Linked DNA regions of Macaca mulatta. The protein of the gene in region 1 purifies or fractionates together with the protein of each later gene. This does not show direct contact. Links are inferred from orthologs where the notes say so. Each region holds a gene or a part of one and is shown in the gene's direction. Other genes may lie near its edges.

Region 1 (4,500 bases):
AAAAACAAAAAAAACAAGCAAAACTCTAATCCCCAAATTCTTGAGGACGCTGATTTTTTTGAGTAGTAATAAAACCTCAGTAACCCGTACAAGCCGGCTCTGTGTGAATTAAACTCTTTATTGCAATTCCCCTGTCTTGATAAAGTCTAGGCAGTGGGCAAGGACAACCTGTTGGGCAGTTACAATGGCACCCTTAGCAAACTAATACAATTACTAACACAATTTAATCAATTAACTTTTTTTTTTTTTTGAGACGGTGTCTCGCTCTGTTGCTCAGGCTGGAGTGCAGTGGCGCTATCTTGGCTCACTGCAAGCTCTGCCCCACGGGTTCACACCCTTCTGCCTCAGCCTTCCGAGTAGCTGGGACTACAGGCATCTGCCACCACGCCTGGCTAATTTTTTTTGTATTTTTTCAGTAGAGATGGGGTTTCACAGTGTTAGCCAGGATGGTCTAGATCTCCTGACCTTGTGATCTTCCCTCCTCGGCCTCCCAAAGTGAGCCACCGTGCCCGGCCTCAATTAACATAATTTAACATAGTTTAAAAAAACCCTCACGGTAATTGTGATGTTGTGAAATAGGTATATATTTGTTCTTTCGGTTTCCTGGCATCCAATTCCTAAAATCCTTAGAATCTGTGAAGCGATGTTTCTGTTTGTTTATTTGTTTGTTTGTTTTTTTTGAGATGAAGTCTCACTCTGTCGACCAGGCTGGAGTGCAGTGGCACCAACTTGGCTCATTCCAACCTCCGCCTCTCGGCTTCAAGAGATTGTCCGGCCTCAGACTCCTGAGTAGCTGGGACTACAGGCACGTGCCACCACGCCCGGTTAATTTTTGTATTTTTAGTAGAGACGGGGTTTCACCATATTGGTCAGGCTGGTCTTGAACTCCTGACCTTAGGTGATCCACCTGCCTTGGCCTCCCAAAGTGCTGGGATTACAGGCGTGAGCCACCGCGTATGGCCTAATCTTGTGTTTTGAGTAGGGACGGGGTTTTCACTATTTTGGCCAGGCTGGTCTCCAACTTTTGACCTCTGGTGATCCGTCCACCTTGGCCTCCTAAAATGCTGGGATTACAGGCATGAGCCACCGCGCCCGGCCTGAAATGCAGTTTAAACTCACTTGTTTTTCTTATGTTAAATTTAAAAAATACTTTAAAAAATAACATGAAGGTGTGATCCTCCCTTCCTGAAATTGTTTCTCTACTTACTTGTGCATGGAGAGAAGTTCGGAATGCTGTTTCCCCAATTATAATACGCTACAATACGCAGCAGTAGTTATTTTTGGGTGAGATTTCGGATGCTCGTCTTTGCCTCCTTTTTGGGCTTTTCGGTACCGCTTGGGTTTCCGAGGACGAGCGTAAGTCATCGCAGAGGCATCTTTCCAAAATCCCCTCCTCTAGTTACAAGGATGCGGGGAGGGTCAGCGGCGCAGCTCTGCGCATGCGTTGAGCAGTTGGTGGGGCCGGAACCTGGTTTCCCGGCCGCGCGCCCGCGGGGAGCGTATTGAGCGAGGCACGGGGACGTCGGCGGCTGGTGGAGCCGGGCGGGCGAAGCTGGAGCGGCGGTGGCGGCGGCGTAGAGAGGCCGGGGCCGGGGCTGAGGCCGCGGCCGGGTCTGCGAGGCCCTTGGGGCGGCAGGCGGCGGCGGCCCGGGGCTCCAGCCCGGAGGCAGGAGCGGCCGCCATGGCCGAGAGCATCGTGAGTGCGGCGGTCGGGCGGGAGCGGGGACGCCGGGATGAGGCAGCAGATTTGCCGGCCGCGGCCTGTGGGGGAGGCGGGCCTGCCGGCCCCGCGACTCGGCCCCTTTCCCTTCTTTCGCCGGGGCTTTCTCTGCAGTGGCTGGGCCCCTCTCGGGGACTTTCACCCCCTCGGCTTCTTCCCGTCCCTGTCTGTCCCCGGAGGACTTGCGACCCCGGTTCTCTGCCCTGGGCAGGGAAAGGCCGAGCCTTTCTGCAGGGAGAATGGACTGTGGCGACGAGAAACCGCCCTCCTTCCCCTCGCGTTTCCCGGCTCCAGGAGACTTCCTGGTCTAATTCCAGGGACCCGCAGCCAGTCCTGCCCCTCTCAGAGCCAGGGACACCTCTTACCCTAATCTCCCTCTGATTCTCTCCTCCTGCTCTCCCACTTCCCAGCAAGTGCCTTGTCATGAGTCACTGAAGAGAGCAGCTCTGCAGACGGGGACGTTACAGAGCTCCCTCAGCACCAGAGGACCTGGGAAAATGAAAACAGTAACTTGCCGGCTTTGCTCCTTGCTTGGAAGGAAAAGTTGACAATTCCTCTTTAAGAGGAATGTTGTAAATGATGTTGATTTCACTTTTTACCTGAAATTAAAATTGTCGGCCGGGCGCAGTGGCTCACGCCTGTCATCTCAGCACTTTGGGAGGCCGAGGCGGGTGGATCACCTGAGGTCAGGAGTTCAAGACCAATACTAAAAATACAAAAAATTAGCAGGGCGTCATGGCGCACGCCTGCAATCCCAGCTACTTGGGAGGCTGAGGCAGGAGAATCGCTTGAACCCGGGAGGTGGAGGTTGCAGTGAGCTGAGATCCCTCCATTGCACTCCAGCCTGGGCTATACAGCGAGACTGTGTCTCAAAAAAATAAAAAATAAAAATAAATAAATTGTCACTCACCCCCCCCCCTTAAGGTAAAAAAAATCAGTGACAAATCAGAGAAAACCAGGCCCTCGTTAAGTTGTGAGAAGTTTCTCCCCAAAAGTAAATGTGATGGGGAAAAAAACCTGACCATTGGACAGGAGCATTTTGGTTAATATTAAGGAAGATTTGGGATTTCTGGGGGAAGCAGGATTGACTGAGGAGTCATGTTCATACTGTAGCATTGTAACAGTCTCTGCAGTTTTGCCAGGTGTTAAGAATAGGTCTCCAGGCCCAGCGCGGTGACTCACACCTGTAATCCCAGCACTTTGGGAGACCGAGGTGGGTGGATCACCTGAGGTCAGGAGTTCAAGACCAGCCCGGCCAACATGGTGAGCCGAGGTGGCGTCACTGGACTCCAGCCTGGGTGACAGAATGAGACTCCGTCTCACGCAGACAGATGGGTCTCCAGGATAACCTAACACTTGCGCACAAGGCTCTTCTCTGGTGGTCCCATCAGCTCTCTATTCAGGGGCCCTCCTGGTGCCTCTGTGTTTCCCAACCTGGAGATGAGTGGAATGAATATAGGGTCCAGGAGAAACTTAGGAAACGTTGACTCCTGGTCAAACGTTGCACAGGCTGGTCTCTGAGCTCGAGGGATCCTCTTGCCTTGGGGTCCCAAATTGTTAGGATTACAGCCCTGAGCTACCTTGCCTGGCCAAGAAACCTTTGACTCCTTTGAAGAATAAAATGTGGCCACGCAGTGGCTCACGCCTGTAATCCCAGCACTTTGGGAGGCCCAGGCGGGTGAATCACGAGGTCAGGAGTTCAAGACTAGCCTGACCAACATGGTGAAACACTGTCTCTACTAAAAATACCAAAATTAGCCGGGTGTGGTGGCGTGCGCCTGTTATCCCAGCTACTCTGGAGGCTGAGGGAGGGGAATCACTCAAACCGGGAGATGGAGGTTGCAGCAAGCCCAGATTGCGCGCCTGGACTCCAGCCTGGGTGACAGAGCGAGACTGTCTCAAAAAAAAAAAAAAAAAAAAAAAGTGTTAATCATTGGTGACTCTGCCTAGAAATAGGTTAGGAATTAGCACTCAAACCTTCTTTCAAACTACCTTTGTAGTTTTAACTGAGTTAAAGTAACCATTGACAAGTGAAAGGTGTTTCAGACAAGGCCATTTTTTTTTTCCCACTAGCGTATATAAGGTTAGGCTCTCATTGACAGCATTAGATCTCATTGAATTTCTCAGATTGTTGAATATCTCTTCTTCAAAAGAAGAGGAATTAAAACACTCTTCTTTTGAAATTGATTTAAGAAGTTATTTTGAATTTAAGAAAAGGTCTTTAAAAGTTTCTGGGCTGGGCGCAGTGGCTCACACCTGTAATCCCAGTGCTTTGAGAGGCCGAGGCGGGTGTATCATGAGGTCAGGAGTTCGAGATCAGCCTGGCCAACATGGTGAAACCACGTCTTTACTAAAAATACAAAAATTGGGGCATAGTGGCTCACGCTTGTAATCCTAGCACTTTGTGAGGCCAAGGCAGGTGGATTACCTGAGCTCAGGAGTTTGAGACCAGCCTGGGCAACAGGGTGAAACCTCGTGTCTACTAAAAAAAAAAAATACAGAAAGTTAACTGGGCATGGCAGCGTGTGCCTGTAGTCCCAGCCACTCGGGAGGCTGAGGCAGGAGAATTACTAGAACCCGGGAGGTGGAGGTTACAGTAAGCCAAGATCACACCACTCCACTCCAGCCTGGGTGACAAGAGACTCTTGTCTGTAAAAAAAAAAAAAAAAAAAAAAAAAGCAAAAATTAGCTGGATGCAGTGGCGGGCGCCTATAATCCCAGTTACCTGGGAAGCTGAGGCAGGAGAATTGCTTGAACTCGGCAGGTGGAGGTTGCAGTGA
Region 2 (4,036 bases), about 340 kb from region 1:
TCTGCAGTGGGGGACTTGCGAGACTTCGTGAGGAGCCACCTGGGGAACCCCGAGCTGTCGTTTTACCTGTGTAAGTTTTTTCTCCTAAGCCCACTCCTGCCTCCAGTGCTCGAGACCCTGGTGCTGTGGGCACACCGCCCGTCCCAGCTGGGGCTCTCGGCAGCTTCTCCATGGGAGCAGCATCTGTGGCCTCCCGCCCAGCTGCCTCCTGCAGCCTATGGTGTCTGTGTGGGGACCTAGCAGGGCCCTTCTCCCTGAGCCGGGCGGTGGGAGGGTGGGAGCCAGGCTTCCTGCCTTCTGTCTCAGCGCTCCGCTCCCCTCTGGAGCCCTGGGGCTCCCCCACCCCTGGGGCTCAGGCCACTCCAGCGAGAGGACTGTGGGAAGGGTCGGTGGACAGGAAGCGGCTGGCCTCCCTTGGAGCGTCTAGGTGGCAATGGGTTAGGCTGCCCCCCTCAAGCGGAGCTGGGCTGCATAGGTGGTGACCCCTGCAGTTGGGCCTGCCCTGCCCCAGCCCCTCCGAGCCCCCAGCTGGGGTTTCTGCAGCCGGAGTGTGGGCACAGGGTGTGATCATGAGGGGCTCTTCTGCCCCACGTGAGGTGTCACCCCCATCTTCGGGCCTGTCTTCTTTTGGGAGCGTGGATGGGGACCGCCGTGCTTCCTAACACATAGATGCCTTCTCTCCTCAGTCATCACCCCTCCAAAAACAGTCCTGGACGACCACACGCGGACCCTCTTTCAGGTACCCGAAGGCCTCTCTGGGGTGCTGCGGGGCGGGGCCCTCCAGGGAGGGCAGGACGCGAGGGTGAGGCCCGCAGTCAGGAAGGAGTGGCTTGGCAGGCGCTGGTGTGGGATAATAAAGCCTTTGAGAGCGGGTGGGTTCAGAGGGGGCCGTGCGCCTCTGAAGTTGTTTCTGACAGGTCTTTCCAGCCTCCTCTGCTTCCTGCCTGGCCCCGGGTGAGAAAGGGCCTGCTAGGCGGCCTGCCTGAACTGGGGCCGCTTGGAGGTCTCGGCCCCCCTGGGCTGCTGTGCTGGGGCCAAGGCAGCACCGGTGCCCGCCCAGGCGTCTGGGTGAGGAAGGGCCCGGCAGGCCTGGGAGCAGGGCTTGGGGAGCCCCAGAGGGACCAGGCCCTCAGCTGGAGGCGGCCGCCTGGGGCTTCAGCTGCCAAGTCTGTGTTCCTGCCCCTTCCCCCTTCCCGGCCTCTCCCGCTGGCCCCGCTGGCCCCTGCTAGGAATGCCCTGGTACCCATAGCTGTCCGCTGCTTCTGTGGGTCCCTGCCACCTCCCTGAGAGCTCCTGAGGGTGGGGCCAGAGTGAGGGTGCCCGGTCCCCAGCCCTGCTGGGCCACCCTCCAGAGCCAGAAGCAATGAATGTCCTGTCCTTGGCCTGTGGGAGAGCCGCCTGGGGCCTTCCGAAGCCCTCTGGCCTAATGGTTTCCTCTTCAAAGCCTCTTCAGATATTTTAATTAGCAACAGAGGCGTTTTTTTTTTTTTTAAGTGGCCACAGGCCTCTGCAGAGGCCTGGGTTGGAGGTGAGAAGCTTGCTTGCTGCCTGGGGCTGCAGCCACTTGCTGAGATGGGGCAAGAAGGCTGGCAGCTGCCAGGGGTGATCAGGAGCAGGACTGAGCGGGTTTCCCTGAGACGGAGGCAGGGGAGGGGTGAGACAGTCCCCTCTCAGCCCCTGAGCTGCCGGGCGGACTCTGGGCCTCCTTCCTCCGTCTCCACCCCCTCCCTTGCTGGCCAGCCAGTTGATAAACATTGAATTTGGAAGATGCCTTGGGGTGGAGGAGGACCAGTGTCCAGGCCTGCAGCCCACCCTCCCACTGGGAGGCCCCCTGAGAGCACTGGGGTGCTGCTGCGCTGTTCCTGGGGATACATGGCTTCCCCGCCAGCCACCATCTCCTGCCCTCCGTCAGCTTGGCTCTAGTCTGGGGGCCTCTCGGGGTGGTGTCCCTGGTGACATTCCTGCCTGCCTGCCGTCAGAGAGCTGGCGGGGCCGAGGGGGGGAAGCCTGCCTCCCTGACAGGCAAGCAGGCGGCGGGCGTGGAAGCACCGGCTTTCATGTCTGTCTCTGGCGGGTCCCTGCTCCGGCCCCTGCTTCTAAGAGGGACAGCGTGCGTGGGTGTGGGGGCTCGGGTAGCCCGGCAGCCCTCTGTGGCCCTGGCCCGGGAGAGCGCAGGTTTTCTGGGAGGGCTGGGAGGAGGCGGCCAGGATTGAGGACAGGGAAGTGTGAGCAGCGTGGGGGCTCCACTGTGGGGAACAAAGCCCCGACCGCTGCCTGAAACCTGCTTCCTGGCCCTGGGCATCAGGGCTGGCATGGTCACCTTTGTGTGCAGTCCGCATCCTCATGTCATAAGGAAGGTCATCCTGGACTAGGCCCACCTTTGATGTCACGGTCACCTCACTTATCTCTTCAAACTCTCTGCTGTTTGGGCTTCCTTCCGTTGGCTTTGGTGGGGCAAGCCTGGCTCCTAACACCCTCTGTTTGTTGGAGCTCTCAGGCTGCCTCGGGGGACCCTCTGCCAGGACACTGGCCACCCACTTGGGAAGGAGTGACTGGCACTTCCGGCCTGAGTGCCTGCTGGGCGCCCACCCCTAGCCAGGTCTGTCCTTCCTTTCCACCCAGGACAGCCCCGTCCTGTACTGCTGTGTTGCCCACTGCCAGGGCCTCTTGGGAACGACAGGCCCCCTTCCTCCCACCCACCAGGCCCTACCCCACCTGGACCCTCTGAAATGTTCCTCGTTGACAAATGGTCTTGCAGAAGGTGGGATGGCTCCTGCAGTCCCCGCTCCCGCTCTGTGGGTGGATGCCCTGTCTCTCCCTGCCCGGGCACCGTGGTGCCTTCTCCCTCCCGGGCACCATGGTGCCACCTCCCTCCCGGGCATCTTGGGCTGTAAGGGCTCCTCTCTTGGCTTCGTTTCCCCGAGGGTGGTGCCGTTCTCTTTGGAGGGGGCGACCGGGGCGCTGGGCCACGTGTGCATGCAGCCCCTGCAGAGTTGCTGCCCCATGGGGGTTGGCGTGGGCCTCCTTTCGGAAACTCTTCCTGGCAACACTGAGTGGGGTAAGGGGCTAGCAGCAGAGAGGTGGCCGGATTTGGGACCCCAGTGTCCTGGGCAGCAGCGAGGGAGGAGCCGGCCCCAGGCCCTCAGGCTGTGTCAGGGCAGGGCGGGTGCCCCCACTTCTCCCTGTCAGCCGAGGGAGCCAGGCGGGCAGCCTGAGACCTCCTGGGGCAGTGCTGGTGGGGAAAGGCCTCTCAGCCTGAGCCTCCCTCAAAGGCCCGTCCTGGGCCCTGCTCTGGGTGGCTGGGGGGATGGTGTGACCCACCTTCCTTTTCTAGCCCCAGCTTGGTGACCGGGTGGTTCCGTTCACCCTGGGTCGCTTACTGAGATGGCGCCTGGGAACCAGGGCAGAGAACACCCTTTCCACCAGTGGGGGACGGAGGTGACATGGACTCTGGGAGGCTCCTTTTTTGGGGTCCATCCAGAGGCCGAGCCTCTCCAAGCACGGGTCAGCCTCCATGCCGCCCAGTCTGCTGACCCTCCTCTCCACCATCCCCTCGTCCGAGCAGTGGGATCCCTCCTGAGTCAAGGCTGGGCACGAGCACGTGGGGACAGCCGGGTAGGCTGCCTGGCTCAGTGCTCCTTGCATAGAGGCGCAGACAGAGTCCGGGTGCCCCAGGCCCGGCCACCAAGCCTACTTCCCTCCGCTGGCGTTCCCGAGTCCTGCCTGCCCCTTTCTGTGCGTCCCACGGGGCAGTGCTGGGTGAGGGTCCTGTCCTGTGCGGCTGTGATGAACACCAGGTGCCTCTCTGCATCGGTGGCTTCTGAGGGAGCCCTCTTGCCCCTTGCAGGTGGGGCTGGCCAGGCCTCCTGTGCCCACAGCGGCCTCTGGGCAGTGTCCCCTGGGCTTCTGTGAGCAGTTGCAGCCTGGGTGTGAATCTTGGAGGCCCCGTGGTGATGAAGCATGCCGTCCGCCTGTGAGAGGCCGAGACCACGGCGGCTCCTGGCGCTGTCCTCCCCGTGCTCCCTTCCTGGCTCCC

The links.
Region 2: the proteins of NPLOC4 (region 1) and ASPSCR1 purify together in Homo sapiens (affinity purification with mass spectrometry; 3 studies listed by BioGRID and IntAct, with this or other methods). This does not show direct contact. The link is inferred for Macaca mulatta from reciprocal best matches to the Homo sapiens genes NPLOC4 and ASPSCR1.

The regions. Positions count from the first base shown.
Region 1 is NC_133421.1:91,341,226-91,345,725, reverse strand, and holds the start of NPLOC4 (nuclear protein localization protein 4 homolog), read left to right. Parts: upstream 1-1,499; 5' UTR 1,500-1,681; coding exon 1,682-1,696; intron 1,697-2,631; exon of another isoform or gene 2,632-2,635; intron 2,636-4,500. Other genes in the region: TSPAN10 (tetraspanin-10), read right to left, coding at 1,208-1,215. UniProt on the Homo sapiens protein: The ternary complex containing UFD1, VCP and NPLOC4 binds ubiquitinated proteins and is necessary for the export of misfolded proteins from the ER to the cytoplasm, where they are degraded by the proteasome.
Region 2 is NC_133421.1:91,683,296-91,687,331, forward strand, and holds the end of ASPSCR1 (tether containing UBX domain for GLUT4), read left to right. Parts: coding exon of another isoform or gene 1-7; coding exon 8-70; intron 71-596; coding exon of another isoform or gene 597-686; coding exon 687-739; coding exon of another isoform or gene 740-802; intron 803-2,622; coding exon 2,623-3,348; 3' UTR 3,349-3,482; downstream 3,483-4,036. UniProt on the Homo sapiens protein: Tethering protein that sequesters GLUT4-containing vesicles in the cytoplasm in the absence of insulin. Modulates the amount of GLUT4 that is available at the cell surface. Enhances VCP methylation catalyzed by VCPKMT.